Drosophila melanogaster: one gene and its partners. The protein of the gene in region 3 interacts with the protein of the main gene of each other region in a pairwise test. Each region holds a gene or a part of one and is shown on either strand. Other genes may lie near its edges.

Evidence for each region.
Region 1: the proteins of Vsx2 (region 3) and CG4250 interact in a two-hybrid assay, tested with the Drosophila melanogaster proteins (2 studies listed by BioGRID).
Region 2: the proteins of Vsx2 (region 3) and CG17377 interact in a two-hybrid assay, tested with the Drosophila melanogaster proteins (2 studies listed by BioGRID).

The regions. Positions count from the first base shown.
Region 1 is NT_033778.4:22,660,483-22,667,660, reverse strand, and holds CG4250 (uncharacterized protein), read right to left. Parts: upstream 3,970-7,178; 5' UTR 3,917-3,969; coding exon 3,748-3,916; intron 3,673-3,747; coding exon 3,540-3,672; intron 3,487-3,539; coding exon 3,384-3,486; 3' UTR 3,187-3,383; downstream 1-3,186. Other genes in the region: CG30273 (uncharacterized protein), read right to left, coding at 1-71, 143-278, 335-479; CG42867 (uncharacterized protein), read right to left, coding at 1,712-1,814, 1,877-1,977; CG42565 (uncharacterized protein), read right to left, coding at 6,496-6,592, 6,800-7,110.
Region 2 is NT_033779.5:6,800,827-6,808,854, reverse strand, and holds CG17377 (uncharacterized protein), read left to right. Parts: upstream 1-6,065; 5' UTR 6,066-6,147; intron 6,148-6,200; 5' UTR 6,201-6,217; coding exon 6,218-6,244; intron 6,245-6,307; coding exon 6,308-6,904; 3' UTR 6,905-7,002; coding exon of another isoform or gene 7,003-7,004; 3' UTR 7,005-7,147; exon of another isoform or gene 7,148-7,149; intron 7,150-7,204; coding exon of another isoform or gene 7,205-7,215; 3' UTR 7,216-7,477; downstream 7,478-8,028. Other genes in the region: CG17375 (uncharacterized protein), read left to right, coding at 3,178-3,257, 3,313-3,423, 3,496-3,609, 3,676-4,177; Daao2 (D-amino acid oxidase 2), read right to left, coding at 4,597-4,909, 4,967-5,263, 5,333-5,545, 5,601-5,803.
Region 3 is NC_004354.4:5,555,490-5,564,742, forward strand, and holds the start of Vsx2 (visual system homeobox 2), read right to left. Parts: upstream 4,695-9,253; 5' UTR 4,474-4,694; coding exon 3,921-4,473; intron 1-3,920.

The DNA of each region.
Region 1 (7,178 bases), on a different chromosome or scaffold from region 3:
AATTGCCGCAAAAGTGATTGGCGTTCATGCAGCTGGTGGCGCAGTAAGGCAGGCAGGCACAACACCAGAGGCTGTTTGTGATTTTCCACCAGAGATTAGATAAGATGGTAGCACGGGGCTGGTGAGAATCTGCAAATCTTACCCAACGATGCATAGAATGGCGGCCATGCAGTGAGTTTTCACACTGGGCGAGTACTCCACGCGGGTCAGTTTCTGGACATGGCAATGCGGGCAGGTGATGAAGGTGGGATCCGGACCCACCGGCAATACAGCTTGATCTGCAAGTCATTGTCAATGTTAATCTTATGTCTGTCACATTGAGAAAAAAACCCACGTTGTATGATCACCACGGGCGGAGGTGCTGTCGTGTGGTGAACCACCCGAACTGGCGCCTGCACGTGCACCACCTGCTCATAGCTCGGTGGGGGCATCTGGTGGGGATAGCCCGGCGCTCCCGCCGGCTGCTGATTGTACTGCATCTTCGTTTGGTTGGTAGTCACGAACTGAAACCGAGTCTTGCGTTTCACTACTCTTGCGACTGCTGTTGCGCAACATTGTTGCTGGCAAAAGCTCTTTGTCGTAGCTTTGTATCTTGTTTGCATTGCTTTTGAGCGCCAACCAAGTCAAGCAACTTAATTTGTTGAAAGCGAGAGTAAATTCGATTGTCAATTGAAATCATGTTCAAGGAAGGAGGAAAGCGCAGTATTAAGTACTGGACTTTTAAATCTTGTTTCCTTCAATCGCCCAAGATTTTATTATAATTAACTAATGATAATCCAGGTTAAAACTAGATGAGCTAATACAATTACATATCTAAATAAATATGCAATTGACAATTTTGTCGTGTGCTGTGCAATAATGTCAATACAGATAAGAATGATTAGCTGAGTCAAGAGCAGTTATTGTACTTTACTTATTTATTTTATTAATAATATTCTACATATGTGCATACATTTAATCAAATTATTGAAGTCTTTAGAATTTGCATTACTCATCCAAATTATCACTAACATTTTTATTTATCGGTTGTCCGCAGCAACAAAAGGATCTAAAATAAGACAAACTTGAAACTGTATTTCATCTGGACGAAGGCAATCTTAGCTCAAGAATAACATACAGCGTATTAAACCACAATCTTTGGCTCCACGACAACTTGAAGTCCTCGGAATTAAGACATACTTGGGACGTATCTTTTGCTCCAGAATTCGGAATTGTAGCCTTCGGTTCGGATAAACTTTTGTAAACCTCCGCGGACCGTCCTTTGAATGCTGGTGTGCTTTTGCGTGGCATCTTTTCAGAACTAAGTTCATTTAATCTTCTATTTATTAAGCCTCAAAACTGTACTCCCGAATTCTAGGAACAAGTCCAAGCTGAACTGATAAGGCCCCACTGTTATCAACAAGCTTTTCTCAAGAGTATTTCTAGTATATCGAACAATTCAAGATGCCGGAAATAAAATCCCCTAGGCCTTACTTTTATCTTAAATTCTTTTTACAAGCCGAGCTCCAGACATCTGGAAAAATAAATACGTATTTTATTGCTTAAAACATATTACACTTAAAGTTCATGTATAGGCTTGCTGCTTTGGAATTTTTCAAAGTGCATTTCCAAAGCTCAAAAGCTCGTGTATATATATTTCATCTGCACTCTGTGGTAAACAGAAATGCAACAGCATTCCTATTTTATTTCAGATTGAGATTCGTATGCCATCTTAGGGGGATCGGTTAGGATCGCCTTTCCAGCCACAGGAACTGCATTTGTAGTAGGATTCATAAATGCCGACTCCACAATATCGATGACCGCAGCATATTGCACTAGCAAATATAAACATTTCAGTTGAAGTTGAAGTAATATCTTCTCATGTGCACTAAAGTACCAAAAATCCATCTTAAGCTTCTTGAATCGCGAGATAGCCAGGCGACTTCTCCTCACCATGGTATGTGAATCGCAGTTGGGACAGTTCGAATCTGTCGACATTTCACTGGAAGCTCCAAGCTTCAACTATCTTTTGTGCAATGCAGTTTGATTGCCGGTTGCATGTTGCAATTGGGTGACTCATGGAATTCTCATGAAGTCAACGAAACATACACATGAGCGTATCAGAGAAATTTAAAAATACTACTACATATATACTTATACACTCTGTTATCAGTTTTAAACTGCAAACTGTGTATTCGAATGGATTTAATAAGTTGATAACTGCGTAAATTTCAAATATCAATTTTTATGTTTTTTGCTACATTGTTTTGACTTTGCACCCAATTTTTGAGCAAACATTCGTTGCTGGAATATAATTGCGATATTAGTTATTTATCGTATATCTATCGTACATTGTAAGCACTATAATTTACCAGTATCTTATAACACATCCATCTATGGTAGTCTTCATAACTCATAGAACGCTTTCTTTCGACACTCGTGACTCGAATTTGCACGTTTCACAAACTATCGTTGTACAGAAGTCTGAATTATCGCGATGTTTGTGAAATAGGAGGAGGAGTTGGAATTCTTTGGTTTTTACCCTGATCATAACATTACGCTGGGTTTTCCATTTCACGCTGACGTCTAGAGCGCAGCTCAAGTTCAATTTACTGAACTCGCATTTCATTTCAATTTGCCTGAACTGAAATGATAATACTGACTGCTGGAATCAGCGAAGCTGATGAATCTCGGCAAATATGAAATCCGCTTGCTTGAATAATAACTTACTTATATAAACATGTTAATAAAATTGGACATCGAATTTGCATCATTTCAGGTATTAATCTGGATACTAGTTGCCAACATTTTTTAAATTATATGAAATTAACTAAATATTGTTGCCCATCTTTTTTATTGGTATTATTGCAGAAAAAGTTGTAATCAAATAAACGGATAAGCGATCAAATTACCTTGTTTCTTCCCTATTCCTTTGTTTAGTGTTTAATTCGAAGAGGGGAAATATAAAATCTAGGTATTAAATTACAAACCTTTTTCCACTGTTCATTGACATAAGTTGTTCAATATACATATATATATATATATATATCCAGTTTCAAGAAGAGGCAGCGATTGTTAGATCAACAATGTGAATGAAGTTATATAAAGGGCGTAGGATGCAGAACCTCAGATAAAAATATCTATAATATATTCCCGCCTCAGAAATTTCCGGGATTTATTAATATTATATACGAAAGTGTTAACATTCATATATCGCCAACAATTTGTGTGATTAGAAATTTATTTTGAAAAGTAAACCAATGCGAAAATTACATACATATATTCAATTGATTTGAACCAGAGTTGTATTTCGTGAATATTCGTGCCAAATCTGATCCCATCAATAGGTGTGGAGATACAAAGTGGGATCTATCCCTGTAATATTTGGTGTTGAGATAGCACTTCTAGTTCTTGTAGGTGCCCACGTAGGCTCCACAGCTGGTGCAGGTGTGTTTGGCCGACTGGCAGGAGTCGGTGCAGTACGGAATGCAGCAGCAGCAAATGCCCCTGAAAATGGCCATTAGTCCTGCGGGCAGGTGGAGCAAACGGGCTGCACTTACCCCAGCATGCAGATGAGTAGGGCCAACAGGTGGGTCTTGGTGCTGGGCTCGAACTCCACCTTCGTCTCCCTGCGGACGCCGCAGCTCGGACAAGTGGCAACGGATGGACATTGGCCCAGGACATTGGGTGGAGCTGAAAGAGGCACGATTGGATTTCGTATAATATGCGATATTATATTTTATGTTTGAATTGCACAGAAGAATTGACCATTATTTCCGATTGATTCATAGTTCTCTGTATTCTCACCCTGCAATATCACTCCCTGTCCCTGATGGAGCTGAGGATAGACCTGCTGCGGTGCGCTATCATAACTGGGCGGTGCCTGGAAACCCGGAGCCTGAGGCTGCATATTCTCGTATTGAAAGTTCTTCTCCATTCTAATTATTCCGACCGATGTGTGCTACGCGTTTGAATTGCCGACAGCGACTGAAACCGCAGAGAGCTCCTCCAACATTGCTCGGCGAACTTTCGAGTTGCGGCGCGATGCGAATTCTATATAGCCCTACTATGTCGGATGGCTTGCTAAGCGATTTCCGTTAAATATTATGTGGCTATCAGAATAAGGGCTTTTACATGAGTAAGTGTTCTTTTTTTTTTGCAGGATGAAAAGCTTTAGTAAGAAATTGCTCAGCCATGATGAATTAATTAATATCAAAACTTACCAATAAAACAGAAATGTTAGCACTTAGTAGGGTATTCCATTGTCAGGTAAACAAACCAGTAGCTTTTACCCTTCCGAAATGGTCCTTCCAGCTATGCTATTAGCACGTATATAACAACAATTTGCATATTTATTGAAAACATAAGAAATACTCAACTCTGCTCAAGAATTGCGTTGTCTCTAAAACAAATCAACCCCCAGGTAAAATCCACTCGTTTCTTCCTTGAACCCTTTTATTGGTGTGCTGAAGAATACATATGCCGGCACTACAATGATTTGTTTTGTTATCAAAATAGTGCGTAGTAATAAATGTGAGAGAGTTAAAAATAGATCAAGTGGGGATAAGTAATGGGGGCTGCATTTCGGCACGGCTGCTGGCTGCAGTCCACGACAAAAAAAAAAAAACAACTTCCGGCGGAAGTTGCTCAGCGCTCGTAGGTGCCAATGTAGGCGTTGCAAGATGGACAGTGGTGGTCGGAGTTCCGGGCGCATTGAGTGCAGTACAGGCAGCAAGCAGGGCCAAAGGCTGCACGAAAGAGATCACTCAATGAGAATGCACCCAGAATGTTAAGAAATCAATATCGAACATGGCTTACAAGGTAAGGCACATAATCAATGCTATCAGGTGAGTCTTGGTGGTGGCTTTCGGCTCCACACGAGTGGTAACCTGTTGACGGCAACTGGGGCAGACCACGATGCACGGTTCCGGGCCAACGGAAGTGGACATTTCGATGGCGGAGCTGCAGAAAGAAAGCACAGGAAACTCTAATAACTCTCATATTGATTGCAGCGCAGACCTTGAAAACTTGAATACGTCGCGTGCCGCTGGTGCATGAGCATTAAATTGGCTGGTTAATGGGGATTTTAATTGCACACCCGCCATGCAAAACAAGCTGTAATCCGCCTTATCTCCCGTCGATGGCACCACGGTGCTGCGCAATCCCTCCTGCCGCCGTGAGGTCATCCTCGTGGGCCACGGAATCTCTTGTGCCATGTGGCAAGCTTCGTGCCGACGCCGTCATCGCACAACCGCGTGTGTCTGAGCCCCGCTCAACCCCGATTCCATCCATCATCTTTGCTCGTCGTTTGGTGCAACTTGCTTGCTCGGTCTGGTCCTATCCAAAATCAACACAATCTATTTATGTATGTTCTCACTAGCGCAAACCACCCAGCACAGTATCCTTATTTAACAGCGGGTGTGTCCGTCGCCAGTGATTAACATTCCCCCCGAAATCCTACTGTCGTCCTGTATGTCTTTGCTGAGTTCTCCCCCAAGCAAAAGTAAATTTTTTGGGGAGCGGCAAAGCAGCGGTAAACATCTAAACAACCAGATATTACCCAATTAGACCTGACTATAATAGTCCGTTGCTCATGTTTGACCCAATCCTAGGCTTGCATAATATATCTCTCCCGTCATACTTACAATCTGTATGGGTGGGTACGTTGTCAAAATAAATAAAGTAGAATTCCGATTTCACAGAGAGACAAAAAGTTAATGCGCACTGTTTGGGCTGCGAAAGTGTTGTGCGGTCAGAAGTTTAGGGCGCGAAGCGGGACACTACACTTCCAAAAGTATTTCCGTTAGCAACATTATGTTGCCTAACTGGGAAGTGATATTTATATACATCCTTAAAATTGATTACAGCGTATCCCTAGGCTGAGTTAAATTAAAATCCTTTTATTCCATTTCTTAAGAACTAAACATTTAGCAGAAATTCAAATATTTTACTAAATATTCAATTATAATGCAAAGAACTTCAGTGATTTCATTTAATAGCATGAACAGTAATCTTGAAGCATCTTAGCATCAATTTAAACTGTGCCAACATGCCGGTTCGTCCCAGCAACATTTTACCGGTTCAAAACAGTTTCATATCAACATTTATTGCTGGACACAAAAGAGTTGTGCTACGAAAAAGTTTCGGGAAAAGACCGCCAAAAAGTACACAAAAACAAAAAAAAAAAACGTATGAACAATTAAGTTTCACATTATTTTTTCTGCAAATCTAGTTGTCTGCAGCAACAATGTAGCCAGATACCCAGAAACAGAAATTAAAGAAAATTCCATTCGCTTCAAAATCTATTTGTTTATTTTTTCGCTGTCAGCTTATTTTGCTCACTAAGCAAACATATTTTTATGTATGTTAAGTGATGAAGACACCACATTGACGCCGTCGATACATAAGGAGATATGAACATACATACATATATGTATGTATAGTTGGTTATGTATATATATATACATATATATAAAATGAAATGATATGAAATCGGCGAGTGTTTTCGCTGCGTCTTCAAAACGAACCCAAGCAGGAGTTGCAGTTGGGACAGTACTGGGAGGTCTTGTAGCAACAGTTGCAGCAGCAAGGGGCGCAGACGCAGGGCCAGCATCTGGTGGATAGAGATGGGAAATAGAGTATATAGCTTATAAGGCACGATCAGCAATTTCTCATAGCTTGTCCAGGAAGAAGCAAAACAATTGCGGCCACAGATATAGCAGACTAGTAAAAACATTTCTTTTTCCGTTTGCTTACATACACATTATGTATGTACAAACCTTTGTTGCTATACTTGCAACCATAAATGCGATCTACTTACAGGAATAGGCAGAGCAACGCCGCCATACAGTAAGTTGATCCGGTAGGATGGTGCTCCACGCGAAGGCGAATCCGAGCGTTGCAGTGGGGACAGATCGTTCCCTGGCGGGTATTGTCCACCAGCACTGTCGTCTGGTGATGCATCACGCTTACGGGCTGCAACACCGGCATGGTTTGGGCCATCACGGGTATCACCGGATTGGGATGTGCGGGCGACGCCAGGTTCTGCTGCATGACGTCCTCCGCTGGAGGAGCGGTGGCGAATGGATCCGAGTAGGGCGGCGGGGAGTCTACGCGCTTGTAGCAACGCATGCTTTTCTATACTCTTCAAATCACACTAAAAATATCAACCAGTTGCTTACAGCTGCGAACGAGCACTG
Region 2 (8,028 bases), on a different chromosome or scaffold from region 3:
TTCAATCCTTGGCTTCCCTCAGTTGTACAAACTTTAAGGGAATTATGTGGGCAAAACAAATTAAGAGTGAAATAAAATGAAATGGCTCGCTGAAATGCAAATATAAATGCGAAAATATGATATTTAATTATGGCTATAGCAGCCCTTCCACTCGCAGTTCGCAGACACGGCTAACTTTTCCATTTTCCCCCATTTTGAATAAATTTGCATTTCACTCGAGTCCGCGCAACAATGAAAAGCGCGCGGCAACAGCAATAACAACTGTAATAAGAGGCAATTGAAAAGTTTAGCATAAGTCGCAAGCGACCTAAGTGAGTTAAAACCGAGCCCGAAGTTTCTTAACGTCTTTCTTAAAGGCCGAAATGCTCTTCAGTGCTGCTCGCCGAAAAATGTGAAAAAGCTACAAACTTTTTAGCATATTAATATATAAGACATTTGGATAATCATACTAAGGTGAGCTAATAAAAAATAAACAAAGCTTGTAACTATTTAAATAATAGTCGTAATTCATTTAAATTTGTTCTTAATACATAATAATCTATTTAAATTATATTTTATTATCTTCTAATTTCTGTACTTGCTGCGACATGATTAGCGACTTTTGGCTTGAAAACAGCTTTGCTCACATCATTGTTTCAAGTTGCCACAAAAATGAAGCCTCTCTTGCCGTTGTTAAATTCATTTTAAGTCCCAAAATCAGCCAGCAGACAACGGAGTTTTGTGAAGAGTCAAAATGGAGTATATAACTGAAGTTTAATTTGTTTTTACAAGCATAATTATGAGCTATGATCGCTACGCAATTTTTCCCCTAAAGTGAACCAGGCAAATCATTGCCGAGAAAAGTTCCAGAGTAAAAATTTCATGTATTTCAACATCTGCAGAGCAGTGAAACAGAAAGATACTTAGACTAAACGCTTTTTAAACGCTAAATAATCAAACATGGGGTAACACTACGGCAGCACATAGATTATCCCATGGATTATCCTCAACTCCTTTCCCATTTGACTGTATTTTGAATTACTTTGAGCACTCTGCTTTTGTTGAACCCTTGCTGACGACTTGTTTGTTTATTTGTTTGCCTTTCGACAACCGCGAAGCTTCAACCGAATGAAAATGGGTATGGGAAAGTGGGCTGCCCCTGATGAGGTTGCAAACACCTTGCGGCTAACAAGTGTACAGCTCCCAGAATCCCATTCCAACAGAATCCATTCCAACCAACCCGCAATCCATTGTCAGCCGGCTTTTTCAGCCATCACAATCACATCTCACTGACATACCCTGTCAAGGGTTCGTTAATTGGGGTGCAGAGTGTATAAATTTATAAGAAACTACAGCTTAGGATAATATACCATTCAATTTAAATATTTAAATACATGGTTTCTTGTGTGCATTACTATTCAATAAATAAAAAATAAATCAAAAATGCTTTCAGTCTTTAGTCAGATCATTTAGTTTAGTAATTTAGTTAGTAATATAAGCAGTCTGAAGTTATGTATTGTATCTTTACTACTACTATCTTTAGAATGTATAAACTTCGTTCTGATCGCCGTTTAGCTGCCGACACCTTTGCTTTTCGGCTGCATTCCATTTCGTTGTGTATTTTCGATTTTAAACGCAAGCGGCGAATGCAAGTCACGGCTGACAGGGGCACCACCCAGATCCACAGAGAACCACCCAGACCAGCTTCACCATTGGGTGGCACCACCCAGCTCGCGATTCCGAGGGAATGCGCAGGTGTGCGCTGAAAAACATGCTAAACCGCCCGGCTGACGTTAAGCGATTTTCGAATGAATTGAAACTTGCTATTGTTGCGGCACCGAATCGTTTACCTTTTTGTGGCATGAAAGGATGTGCGACGATGGGTGTGGCAAATGCGAGTGTGTGCAAACAATTTGGCGGATTAAATGAGTCCCAAATGAGACGTTTTTATGCCCGCCACACACACATTTTATGCAACATCATAAAGTCCATTGCGGACTTAGCCAAAGCCGATGCTCAATGCTTCAGCTCGACTAAGCTCGAACCATTCGTTCTAATGAAATGAAGAGAAAAGCGAAGAGCACTTTCAAATAAATCCCCCATCGAATAATGCCAAAAATTAAGTTATTTCTTTTCGATATTGAATTTATCAGGAGAGACATGAGACGGCGGCATACGTGTCCTGAATAGCTATGCCACAAATGCGTGTGGCAGCGGTCCAACCGACATCCGATGCCAGCCATTAAAAGTGTCGCTTGTATTTAAATATTCAATTGTCTCACGGACAAGGATGTGAAACATTTAAAAATGCGCTGTCTTTCCTGAGAAGGGATCCTTTTAGGAAATGAGGGAGCATCCGAGCCAAATTCGGTTATTCAATTGGTTTGTTGCCTAGTAAATGACACCCGATGGTCTTTGAATTTTAAAATAAGGAATCCAAGGTGTATGTTCCAGGACGTGTTCTCAGTTGGCACATTTCTTTTTTCTTTTTTTTTTTTTTTTGGCTGGAGGGTGGATTTGGTTTGGTTTCCATTTGACTACGATATCCGCCTTCCATTGAATTCCACCCACAAAATGGGTGCGATTGTTATTTACATTCTTTTGGGCTGCATTTGCTTTTATGTGGTGGCAATTTATTCAAATTGAGACATTAGACAAATTAAATTTACACGTATCACCCTTGATTGTTACCGCCTGTATATTCGTTTAATTATGACATTATTCAAAACAGTTCATTTGCATTTCGTAATACAAATAAACATTTACGGTTATTCCGTTTGGATATGAAAAAAAAACCAATTTAAGACCATCGTATTTGGAAAACAATATGTTGAACAGTTTTACAAGCAACGTGAATGCCATCCAAGAAGTATGCAAACCCATATTCCAATCTTCTAGCAAGAAATTATCTACATTAATAGAGAAATGTATTGCTCACCTTTTATTCTAAACATTACAGATACATTTCAGATATTTAAATGTACTTCATTTAAAACACTCAAAAAAATGGTCTGTTGAGGTACGTTAACTTCCTTCTTTTTATGGACCCAAAAAGTATGCTTTGCTTTTCTTTTCTTCTTTCGAAAGTATCTTGCAGTTTTAGCTTAAGTTTCCAGACTTTTAACTTCTACCTTTTGAGCTCGTATATATAATTCAAAAATCTTCGGTGGTTTTAAAATTCTTAGTGACTTAAATGCGATGGAAGATGTCCGCACTCTGCGGTATGATATCCAATGGGATGTTTTCGAGGGCATGCAAATAGTTGACATCAATTCAAAGCATGTATGGTCAGAGAAATGTAAAGTTTAGATGTTAAAATTGAAATATATGTAGGTACTATGACATGGTGATCGAGTTCATGTGGTCCAATTCGTTTCTGAAAAGTCTTGTCTATGAGAGTCTGGGACTATTCGATTTGCCGGACATGAAACAGACTTATTCTTGGTAATGTGCTTTTATAAAAAAGTTATGAACAAATGTAGAGTAATAAAACATTATTGGAATATTGTTATAAAGGTATGTGCGACACATCCTGCGAAACGAGTGCTCCGTGATGATGATTAGCGAAGATGAAACGCAAATAAGGGCAGTGGGATTGCTGGAATGGATGACCGAGGAATGGCACTCCTGGTATGATCAATAAATCCACTATCATTTGCCTAATATATACTAGTAACATGTCTGTTTTTATTACAGGGTCTTCTTTCCCTCTTCGTTGCCCAGGAATCTGTTCCAGCAGATCATAATGATGAAGAAGGAGCTCATCGATGCGACCAAAGCGAACATGGGCATCTCCACCTACGATGCACTGTTCGTCCACGAGATCGCCTTTCCGGATGAGCTCTACTTTAACCGGGATTTCCTGTCGACCATCTTCGATGTCTTTGGCTTTGTGGCCCAGCACATGCACATGCCGCGGGTCAGCTTCATCGCCCTCAGCTCCGTGGACCAGGAGGCCGCCAGTCTGATCGATTACGAAGAGATCGGGCGGACTATCTACTCGATCTACAAGGTTGGCAACACCCGGCCCTTTGACATCCTTCGCGAGCTAGACGAGATGTACGCACTGCTGTTTGAACTGGCCGTCTCGCCGGTACTGAAGTACATTGAAATGCCCGGTTTCGAGGAGTTCCACGAGGCCCTGGATGCCAGGTTGGCCAAGGAGGCAGCCGAAAAGCGCCACGACGACGATATTTGATATGTTTCCTGCTGTCTTCTTCACATAAATGTCTGCCTACTCTTGGGCTACCCCATCGTAATTCCCCCAGCTTCCCTTTCACAATTACTTAATTGCAGGCACCATCGTGGAGTGCCAATTTTGACGGGGGGGGTGGAATAGTGGAATGTTTCCAAGCAGTCGGTGATAAGCCTATCAATACGATCCCCATGCCATGGCGATAGTGCTGCCTACACAGGCAAAAATATGCTTGCATTGACCCAATCAAAACGTAGTACAGCATTCAATTCAATTTTATAACATTTTCCATATAGAAATTGCTAAGTGTAATGAAATATATTAAAATGTTTATTATGTAGATAAAGAGATGCTTTTAAATGCTGTTACCTTTACACTACCAATTTTGTTATAGAACTAAAATAATAATCTTTCCAACTGACTTATAATTTGGAACCGTTCTTGGCGGCCAACAGGATATTGAGGACATCGTCGGCACAGCCCCAGCACAAAGTGACTCCACTGCCGCCATGTCCATAGTTGTGGATGAGGAGCTTGCGGCCGCGGCGCTCGGCTTCCAGTCGGAGTTGGGTGCGACCCGGCCGGAGACCTACCCAATCAAAGAGGCACTCCGTGTGCTCCAAACCAGGAATGTACCGCTGACAGCCATCGACGATCATCCGCCTGTCGTTCTGGCAGACTTTAGTGTTGTAGTCCCGCTCCTGATGGGTTCCGCCCAGGACAACACTTTCGGTGCTTAAATATTTCAGATATTGGAATACGAACAAATAAGTGTAACTGGCAAATACTCACTTGGGTATAATATAGTTGCCATCATCACTCTCGTCCAGCACGGCAGAGAAAATCCAGTTGGCCCTCACCCGGGAAACTTGGCCACGCACTGCGTACATTTGATCGTCGTTTAGTAGGGTCTTAGAGCCCAATCCGGAGCAATTGACTATCACATCGTACTCGGAATCGGCTACAAATGCATCCAGGTCTGTAATCCTTTTCCGGACAACAACACCTCCATTTCGGGTGAAACGCTTCATCAAATACGGCAGTAGCTTAATGGGCTCCGAGGTGTAGGTAACAAAGGATAAACCAGACCTAGATATGGTTTAGATATGTTCATATTTCAGCAAGTATAAATCTATGGATATCTATGAATATTCTTACGTGAACTTAACGCTGCGACCTTTATTGTAGGCAGCCAGCTGTTCCTTGGACAGATCCACTGCTCCATAGACAATGTCACGCCAAAAATCTTCGACCGTGTCCACCGTTGAGGTGCTCAGCCGAATGCAGGGTAGCAGACAAACGCCAGCCTCTCCGGCATCCTCGCTCAGCCAGATCTTCTCCAAAAATTGGTGCATGCTCTTCGACCACTTGCTGATGGAAAAAAAGTTATAAGTAAGAATATAATATAGTGACTAGTAAAACTTACTAGACTTTCGCCTGCGAAGTGCCGCCCAGAAGGTACGGACCCCAGAGACCAGCCGAACCATCTCCAGTTGTGTTAGGCGTGAAGTCCTCCGATATGATCGTCACCTTTATGGGTGTCTTTCCATCGTTCACATAGTGTTCCAGTATCTTAATGGCACTGGCAACACCATTAACCCCGGCACCGATAACTGCAATGTTAGGCATTGCTCCAATCCGATCAGCTTGGGAACTTGGAATGAACTGAAAAGAGGATCGCTTATCAGAATTGTAAGCAAATCGCATAATACAATTAGCTGATAACAGAGCTTTTAAAAAGAGCGAAAAAGCTTTTTGCATTTTGAATCTAATATTAACTCTTTCTTAAAATCTAGTAGGCTATAATTCCAACAAGTTGGCCTTGCATTTCATCTCAAACGGAACCGAATATGTGTGTTGGGATGTGTTGATCATTCCTCATTCGATACCAAACTCTCGGACCTTTCGTTTCGGCCAGCTTCTAAATTTTCCAAATTCCAAATTTTTCTTCCAAATTAATTTGACCAAATAGAGTAAGTTTATCCCGGGAAGACCATAGTATATTTTTAAATCCTTTGTCCTGTAGCGCTCGACGGGCTCAAGATGTGTGACGGATGTGGATCGTTGGAGGTGAGTAACCATATGCAACACACCACTGACCACTTGTGACCACTATGTATGCATCCTTTCCAGCCGCGCGGATGCCGCAGTCGGGAGTTACGATGCGGCATCATGTACACCACTTGCGACTGCGTGAAGCGGAACGGTCTGCAGGACAAGTGCCCGCGGTCCGCCTGCCAGGGCCGACCGGCCTGCCTGTGCTTCCCCTTCCCCACCTGCGGTCCGGCGGCATTCCCGCTGCGCTACGCTAACATGATGATGGGCGTGAACAATAAGCGTATGCGCTGTGCCGCCACTGGAGCACCAAATGGCGGTGCCGGATGCGGTGGACGCGTTGCCGGCGGCTGCTGTGGATGCGGTCCCTGCTGCTGTAATGTATCGCCCTGCTGTGGCCCGCACAGTCCTCCATGCTGTGGCTCGCACAGTCTTCCATGCTGTGGCCCGCACAGTCCTCCATGCGGAGCTCCGTCGCCCATTCCTTGCTCCTCTGCTCCGGGCATGTGCTGCCCTCCGCTGCCTGAAGGCGGCATTCCCGATCCGCGTGTCTGGAACTACTATAACGCACCTGTGACGTACCCATGTAAGTCCGGTCCAGGTCCGTCCACCTGTCCGCCTGTCTGTCCGTCTGCTTGTCCATCTGTCACGGCGCTGGGCGTCCGTAGAACGTAAAAACCATGGAGCGGAGGAGCACGAGGCATGCCCAAGGACTTTGCAGGTCACAGCATCTGGAACATGTGCTTGTGGTGACGCTTCATGTCCTTTTGCAGGAGCTTTATGCCCACTACGCTGATCCGTCAACAATGATAGCATGTCCTGGGCTTTGTGAGCGTAGAGGTAGGATCCATGGACCAAATGCTGTTGCCAGGCCCCAAATCCTTCATGACCCTTTGACCTCCATCCGCATCCTGTCGCGTGTAAGTAACTGCGATACCTTCTGCATTCACTGGTTTTACCTTTCTCATCCCACAGGTGGCTTATAAGTATTTCCTGGCAAGTGTTTCGATCGGATCCTGATATGGGCCACTTCCTTGGCGGGACATGTTGTCGTTTTGTGACGTAGTTTTGGTTGATAAAAAATTGAAGTTGGCTTAAATCAAGATTTAGCCAGCTGCGGAATACCCATTACTAGAAGGGCTCGAAGCTATTTGGGAACCCATGTGCAATTCGTCAGACGGTCTTGATTTAAACACAAAATCATATGTTGGTATCTGGAATCTATTTGGCATTAAATTACAAATAAACAAATTGAAATTATATTCTGTGTATTATGGGGGGTGTTAAAGGTTGCGTTTATTTTATGGCTGCACTTATGCTTCGAATATTTATATTTTAAGCCTGGCATTAGAATTGTAAATTAAGGTTGAAACCTTATGCCAAGGCCATAAAAATTTACGTTCATATGTCCCACAGATATTCTGATATTTATATTAATTAATATCAATTTTATTAGGGTGGGTTTCCGTGGCATTTAAGATTTAATTAATTAAAAGTTGAACTTTGCTGATAGTACTTTGTTTTAAACCCATTTTTTCGAGCTGGGAGAGCCATGTTCCAATCTTAGTGAGTTAGTTGACCTAAACAATTCGCGGGTCAAATATTTTGTTTTAGTGAATAAGGCAAATATAGATATATAATTATGTAGATCTGTGGCGATTTCATAATCTTTGCTAAGTCGAAGTAGGCCATGAAATTTCATAAAGTTGGCCATGACTTTTAAGCCAACCCGAACCGAAACTTGAACTGGATGTGCTGGGCCAAGGGAACAGCTAACCTCATTCGATATCTGACTCTCG
Region 3 (9,253 bases):
CAAATCCCCCAACATTGGCGCCCCTGCAACACGCTGGCTGTGCAGCCAAAGTGAGTTGAGCTTTTTGGGGCACGAATTGCCCGGCTCTGATTGCCATGTGACGGGGCACAAAATCCAGCTTATGAATACATGAATACGAATGCGAATACACTGGGCAACTAGACTCGAATATGAGTGTGTCTGCTATATATACTCGTATTTTGGTCAATTATCGTGCGAGTATGCTTTCATTTACATGCGATTTTCATTTGGTTGCTAGCTTGAGTATATTTAATATTATAGTTATCGCAATTTATTGCAAGTGTAATTTGTGATTATCGTGAATGAATTGCATGGCGTTCCGTTTGAGAAAATTCGAAATTATTGCGGCTAATTCCGTTCGATGCGAACGGTTGTGAATCAACTGGCACTCACACCCACACAATTGCAGGCTCACCCCTTGCACTCACACTCACACTCACACTCATTCGCACTCACACTCACACTGGCACGGACAAATTAACCCTTGAGTGGCACTCGGCACTTCGTTCGTCAAGTTGCTTTAATTGACTTTTAAATTCGCAAAAAATCAAAGCGAAAAAGTGTGACAAAGTGCCAAAAACAAGAATGCAATGCAAATAAGTGGCATTGGGCGGGGAGGCGGTAAAGTGCTGGCAACAACAACTGAAACAATAACTGCACTCGTGAAACGCTGACGCCGAACATTTTCACACCTCGGACAATGCAGAATGCAGAAAGTGCGGGGCGTCAAGGGGTTAAGCAGCAGCAAATTTATGTAGAAAATGTGAAAGAAAAAAATCAAAAAAATCAAAAAAAAACTGAAAAATCAAAAACCAAAAAGTGAGAAATACTCAAAAAACCGAAGGGCGTTTGTCGACACTTTTCCGAATTTCTCCCACATTCTTCAACCGTTCGCTTTTCTAATTTACGTCAACGCAAAATCAAAGCAAAGTCAAAAGACGACCGCACACAATGTCCGAGGCGAAACTACAATTAAGAATATTTTTATCAGCCAAGGAGACACACACACACACACATGCACATGCAGCTATACATATGCATATATGTACATATACATATATAATGGGGCTGGCTATTAGCAAAGTGGCTCAAATATCAAAGGGCGGCGACATACGGATATTTGGCTGTTGCCACTTGAATGGAGATGGCCAGAGTTTTCGGCAGACTGACAGCCAGCAATTAGCAGTTCTGGAGTCGAGTCAGTGATTGCAACACTTCCGTTGCCACTAGAAACGATAAATCAGTACATAAATCAGTACATAAGGAAATGATAAGGAAATCGTGATTATTACTCTTACGAATATTCGTAACTGAATTTAAACGTAATATCTATTTAGTAAGCCGTTCCCCAATGGATCAGCATCAGCATCTCAAGCTGGCTAACTTAAATTTTGAACTCATACATACCAACTTAGTTACTTATTATCTGTATACATTGTTGGCATGCTCAGCTAAAAAGTGGAAAATCCTAAATGGTTAATTTCGAGAGGCGAGTAAATTGTCGAAATCTTTGCAGCACAAGTGCACCAATACAAGGAAAATCTTGAATTGTATGTGTGTGTGGGGATGTGCAAACACATCAAAACGACTGTCACAACAAAGCGACGCGCGTAGCCAAAGTGAAAATTGTCAATTAAATGTGTGGCGGTGTGGTGTGCGAAGAAAAAGCGCTTTTCTTATTGTCGTTGGGCAACCAATTTTCCGATTTGGGTTTTCCCTTCTGGTAAAAGATCAAAGGCACTTAATGGAGGGCGCCAAGTACTCAGCTCTGGACAGGAAATCCGTCCGAAATCCGGCCAGAAATTCGCTCGCGATTCGACCAAACCTGATGCGATTTTTTAATTGACGAGCTGGCCACGCAAATGGGTATAAAATCAACAACGGATACCCGAAATATTCGTACGACAACGAAGCGAGTTGAAAATATGCAAAATTAAATAGGATGACGCGAATGAAAAGCAGAAAGCACGGCTAAACAGAACAGAAGAAAATGGGGAGTGAACTAATAAGCACGACTACTGCATACCCTAAAACATATAAGCCTTTCCTAATTTATAAGCTTTTACCACAGGCAGACCACTTTCTCTATCTCTATTTATGAGCACGACTATTACATACCCTAGAATATATGCTTTTAGCGGAGGCAACCCACTCTCTCTCATCATCGCAGAGCAACTCGCCCTGTTTATTGCACCAAAACTAATGAGCACAACTATTACATACTACATACATTACCACTATTTATAAAACCTTAACTAATTGGTCATAGTTTAAATTGTAATCCCAGTCTGCTAGCCCATACTACCCATAACTATTTAGCAGCTAAGAGCAGTGCTCTTTCCCACATTTATTAAACGCAAATTACGACGAAACTGTGGAAATGGGCGATAAACGGATAGGAGTATTGTAATTAAAATAACGCATAAACATCGAGCCAAAAAGAAAGCCGCACAACATGCGAAATCAATAAAAAAAAAAATAATAATAATAAGACCCCAAAAAAAAGGGTCCGGAAGTGTAGGGGTAAACAGATTTGAAATCAAGAAATCAGATTCAATCTACTCATATATGTATCTACATATCCACATAAGTTGAGTGAGTGCGCAGTGAAATTGGCACAGTGAATCAGTTGCAGAGCAATGGAAATCGGTGATGACGATGATGATATTTCAACGCTAATTAAAATAATAATAACAATAATAACAGCTGCCACTTGAATCTGCAAGATTATCTGCAGAGCCTCGCACTTTTCACAGTGAAAGAAATTTGGCTAAACGCTTCAGGATTTTGTTATTAATGCCATTCCAGATATAGTTCACAAATCCAATGAGAAATATAACAATTTGAAGTGCTTATGTTGTTAATCAACTGCTTACTTCTGGCAGCCAGCAACTAGTTCCTAGTTTTTTACCGTGTATCCAATCCCTGCACGGCTTTTCATGCCTTTCTGTTTATCTGCCTTCACTGTCATCGCTCCAACTTCGTATGATATTGCCACTTGCAAATGAGCTTTGAATCGAGAGAGACAGCAGGTCGACTCGAGTTCACTGTTAGTGTGTGGGATTTTCTTGCAGTGTGCGTGTTTCATTGCCTGTGCTGATCGCCAAACAAAGGCGCACCTACAGTGGCACAAAAGCGACCAAAAACCTACTCGAAAAGCATACCAAGCTTATTATAAATTGATTCGGATTTCCACTGATTCTAGAATTTTATTTAAACAATATGAAAACTAACTATTGTCGTTAGTGTGCCCAAACTATTGCAACAATTGTGAAGCCCAGTTTTTGCTATGCTCAAACCAGAGTGCAACACACACACAAACACTCACACACACACATCCACACACAGTGCAATTAGCAGCTCAACTTGAGTGGTGGTGCTTTGGATTGGAGTGGCTTCGGAGGCGGATTGCCGGATTGCCGGATCGGTGGAGCGGTGGTGCGGATGCGGGCGTTGTGTCGTTTGCAGTGGGGCCAAAGCTGATTTGGCGGACGATGGACCGCTGATTAATTCCTTTTTTATGCTAACTAAGCGGCACTCCAGACACCGATTCGCCCCACTGTGTGTGCGTGTGCGTGTGAATCGAATGTATCTGTATCTGAATCTGAATCTGTAAATGTATCTGAGCATGTGTATATGTGCGCCTGTGTTGGTGTGTCTGGCAGGTGACAAAACCAGTTGCGATTGCTAATTGCGTTTAAGCTTTGATTGTCAGTGTAAATACATCGAACAAAAGATTTTTAAAATCGCTATAGCGAAATATATGTAAGTTAGCTACGGCACTTTTCAACTTTCCCATGTTCAGTATATGCATAAATGAAAAAAATATATATATCTGTGTTTTACTAACTGCAATTAACTGCAATTTGAGTGGTTCGCTGGCGGGGACATTGGCTTACCCTGCGCGTGCAGCAGCGGGTGGTGCGGATGGTGGGGGTGGTGGTGCTGCATCGGCGGCGGCGGCGGTGGCCCGCCAACGGCTCCGTGTGGGTGGTGCGGGTGGTGGTGTGGATGGTGCTGGTGCTGATGCTGATGATGATGGTGCACCGCCGCGGCCAGTTGGTGGGGCATAAAGGCCGCTGCCACCGCCGCATGGGCATTGAAGTAGGCCATTCGCGAGGCGGCCGCCATGGTCATTTGGTGGTGCTCCCTGTACTGATGGTGGTGCGGCTGGTGGTGCTGCTGCTCTTGTTGCTGCTGCTGCGGCTGCTGCTGTGGCTCCGAAACGCTCGTTAAATTGCCTTCGGCCGCATTTGTTGGTGTTGCTGCCGTAGCTGCTGATGTTGCTGCTGTTGCCATTGTGGCATTTGTTGTCTTTGGCGGCGTTGGCGTTTGGCGCTCTTTTGCCACCGTTGCACCGGCAGTTGTCGTCAGATCGGTTGGCGCTTCTGTGGCCGCCGCCACCGCCAAGCCCAGCAGCTCCTGAATGGCAAATGGCGAACGCTGCGGCATTTTCGATTGCTAATATTTCGATTTACGTCTAGATATTGCCGTTGTCAAAACAAATCGCTTGAAAACATCATGCAGTCCCAATTGAGAAACCCAGAAAACAAAAAAAAAAACAAAGCAAAGGCAAGTTTTGCAATGTTGTAAAGACTACGCGAAATGGGATTTGCGAATGGAGGTTTTGAGATTTTGCGCTGGCACGCGTCGCAGAAAAACACACAACAAATTCGCAATAATTTCCACGTTAAACTGTTGCCTGCGTTAATGTGCACCAGGAGTTTTGTCGTCGCAGTTGCTGTTTCTGTTTGCTGTTGCTGTTGCTGTCGTGCTGTTGCTGCCGTTATGTTGCTGCTGGTGGTTGGCTTTCGACTTGGCTTTGCATTTCGCTTTGGATTTGGCCAAGGAGGCATTCAGCTAACAAACGGTAAACGGCCAGCGGAGCTTTGCTCTTCCGAGGACCTCAAATCGCATGGCAAGCGCAGCAGCAACATTTGCAGCAGCAGCAGCAACACCAACAGCAGCAGCAACAGCAGTAACGGCGGCAACGGCGGCAAAAGCAGCGCGCCGACAGCGACGCTCGCGTCGACTGCGCTGCCCGGCAACGGTAAATATTCAGGGGCGGTCTCTGTCGCACGCTAGCCGCACTCTTCGCCGCTCAGCGAGTGCGAGGGAGTCAGCAGCATATGGGCCTTCCCCTCGGCAACATGGCGCATGTGCGACATCCATTCGCCGTTAGAGTGAGGAGAGCAGCAAGCGCCTTCCAAGCACCATCTAGCCGTGCTCTTCTCGCACACGCGTAACCTTCCAGTTTTCCCGCGAACTTCCAGTTCGGACCGAAACGCATTAGTGTTGGTGCGCTGCTTGCCGTTGTATTGGTGCCCGATTGCCACAGTGTGCGGCGCCCATTTTGTGTGAGTGAAAGAGAGCCAGAGAGCGCAAGAGTGGGAGAGGGCATGGTCAACAGGGCTGGGGTGGCGCAAAAAAAGGCGCAAGAAAACAACTATTTCGCAGACCCGAACTCGAACTCGGAACTCCAACCGCTCTCCGTTCAATGAAGGACGCCAATTTATGGCCCAAAAAACGAGCCACCATTCGGTTTCCAGCTGGTAGAAACTACTCACTTGTCGGCCGCCTAACAATGCCTTTCCCTTCCCCAAAAAAAAGGCAGTCTAATTAAAATTTTCGCCAAAAACTTGTACTATTGAAATGCGTAAATTAGCATTTACACCACGTCCTGTGTGCATGAGTGTGTGCGTGTGTGCCAGTGGGAGAGTCCTTGCTGCGCAGTTTTGCAGGATTTCAAGAGATTTTGGGGTCGTGCTATGTGGGTTATTGTTCTCGGAGAAATGTCCCGAAATTCGGCAAAATAATTCGGCTTGATTTCGGCAGCAGTCGAAAAGTAGAGCTTGTAATGGACTTGCAAATTACTGCTAGGCAATTGAGGGACTTACAATTAACTCGGTCCCGAAAGGGATCTCCTACAAAAGGCCATACACAGATAGAAAAAACGTGTTGATATTTAATTCTCAAAAAAATATATAAATATATTTTGTTACGCATCGATTATATTCTATATACACGCATTGATTTCTATTTAAAGAAAATAAAGACACCAGCAATTGGAAAGCCACGATCAGTGGCAGGCAAACGGGTCTTTTGGGGCTTTTCTCACGCCCCCACACAGTGAGCTCTGCCTATGGAGAAACCCACGCGGCAATTAGACAATTGAAATGCCAACGCTCACACGGCCATCGCAGCGAAATCGGAGCGGATCGAAACGAAACGGAATCACAGATCATATATATGTATATACATATATGTATGTAAGTATGTACATATCCGTCGGGCCACGCAGTCTGGCATTTGGAAATAAAAGAAAGAGAGGCAACGTGGTCGTGCGAGAGAGAAAGAGAGCGAGGGAGAGAGAGACGGGGGCAGGCTGCAGAAAGGAAGGCAGCGAACGAAGAGTGCGTGCTAGAAGAATTTCGCGGGTAATTCGATATTTTCTTAAGCAGGTTGCCCCCGGAATGATTATGATTCATTCATTGGGTATGCGAGCTCTTTAAGGCGAAATTCGTTTATTTACTGGAATTTGATTGTTAATTAACTTGCAATTACAATCGCCGGGGGATCCTGTCAAAATAAATATTGAATTTCGCCGATGATTATGGGTAATCCGATATTGATGATATAGTTTTACTCTATTTCGCTGAGAACCATATAGTTTTCACCTGGCCATTAACCATTGGTTACAGTTCAATGTTGGCGATTTCTTGTTTTATTTCTGCTTTTTTATTTTTACTAAATCCACTGGCATGTCCTGCGAGTTTCCAGGAACTCGGACCTGTGTGCTTTTGTTTTGCAAATATTTTGACGTGCCAACGAAGGACTGACAACCCAACTACCTGGCCAAAGTCCGGCTATATATTCATTCATATTCATTCATATATATATATATATATATATTTTTGAATACTTTGATACCGGGTGCCTTATTTCGTCTCGAGTTGCTCTTCACATTTCTGGTAGTTGACGTGGCCCGCCGAATGATTTAATTATGATCTCAAGTGCGAGAGTTTACCAAAATCGATTGTCAATTATGTGTCGAGATTTATTTACTTAACTATTATTGTCTTGGCACACACACAATGCACAGCACACAATCGGAATCGGAATCGGACAAACTTAATTATGAACAATTAAAGTTCAGTTACTTTTTGTGTAGGCTTCCCCCAGCGAGTTTCTCGATTATTTTTTGGACTGACAGGCGGTATAAGGCTTACCAAAAAAAAAAATATATATATATATATATATATATATATATATATAAAGCTATCCTATACGAATAAAAGCAGTAATAAATAATAATAATAAATCAAATGGCATAAATAACAACAAGCACATTGTTGTGTAATTAAGTTGTTAAGTGTGAACAAATCTCGGTAAATCTTCGCGGGGCAACGGGGGTGTTTTTTCAAGGGGCTTTAGACAATATTATTGTCACACAATTGTTGCCGTGTGATTAGTTGAAACTTTAATTGCGCCACAATGGCATAATAACAACGATAATGGCCCGAAAAGCAGAGAAAAACTTCGAAGTGAAGGTTTTTGGCATTCGCACTTAGGCGAGATTGAAATACTCTTCAAAAGTTGTGCTATAAATGGGCATATTATTAGGAAAATTTTCACGAATTTCATATTTTCTATTATTATTCTTATTAAAAAATGGGCCTTTCTTAACTAGAATAATATGAAATAAATTCTAAGATTAAATATATGTTGTCAATAATTGAAAACCAATTATTTTGCGTTTTGAATACTTTCGCTAAGCCCCGAAATAATTTATAGAGCATACTAATTGCATTTACCGTACAAGTGGAGGCATTTGGTATTAGCCGTGAATTATAATCGTCATTATCATATTACTATTATTTATTATTGTTATTGTGTCTGCTATTTCTGTGGCTCTGGTCATTGTTGCTTGTCCTGCTTATTTCGAGTTCAGTTTTCAATTATTTAATTGTTTATTTCGCATGGGTAACGTGAGAAAATTAATTTCTGCCTTTTGGCGAAGACACAAAGTTTGCGGGCGCTGCCCACAGATGGCGCTTTGGTTGCGTTTATGGCTAATTTTGCACAAAGCCAATCAGCGTGTCCTTGTTCTGCGGTCGGTTTGTGTCTTCGCTAATTAGTGAAAGTTTTCGCACATTTATTTAATTAGTCGAATTCCACGGATTTTACCTTGCTTATTTTTATGTTCATTATCGCTAAATATTACTTATAAAATCGTTTTAATGAATCTCATTTCGTAGCCATTTTTACTCATATCCATGTTATAAATACCACCGCCCCTTGATGCCATATAAAGAAAACGATATGTACATCCTTTAATGGGATTATCTGCACTAATTTCCGCCCAGCAAAAAGTAACAGACGAACTGAAGTTGAAAATACTCGATCATCATTTGTGTGAACGACGGGAAAAATGATTTATCATTCGAGGGCACTCGAGAGTGAGGATGCTCGCTGACAGGCGCTAGTTCTTCGACTGGGCTGGGTTGCTTTCGGCTTAAGTTCTTTGGGTACACTAAGAAAAACGGCAAGACCTCGTTCTGTGTTTCCAACAAATATGCTACAAAATTGTCACATTTTATCTAAATCGATTTTGTTAACTCGAAAGCTGTAAGCGGTCCTTGCTAGACACTTACGCTGACCCCTACGAATCATTTCTTTCAGTTTACCTCCCTATATCTGACCCCTACGAATCATTTCTTTCAGTGTACCTCCCTATATCTGGCTGTGCGAGCTACCGAAGTGGCCGAAGTGTGTGCTCGACAATGACGACGAACCAATTTATGGGACAGGCCTTCGAGTTGGCACTTGAGTAAACCGAAAGGCAAACACTGCACACTACCACACAACCCAACGTAAACGGAATGATTGGCGAGAGGGGTAGCGGTGTGATTAGGGGTGGTGGCAACTCTGTCCATCGACGGTGGTTGTAGCCTCAAATTGGAAAATAGGCAACAACGAAATACGCGCAGGGCCAAAACAAATTAGTAGCTGTACAAAAAGAAAAAAAAAAACCAACAATAATAATAACGAAAATAAGGGAGCGAGGGGTGTGAAATGCGAAAACCAAAATGGCCGAACTTCAATTGAAGTGTAACATGAAGAAGTGGCTGGCCGCTGAGTTTACAGTACGCGTACCCCCGATGGCCGACACACTGAGAGAAAAGCAGTGGAGTGTATTGAAATTCAAGCGCATTCTGTGCAAACATCAATC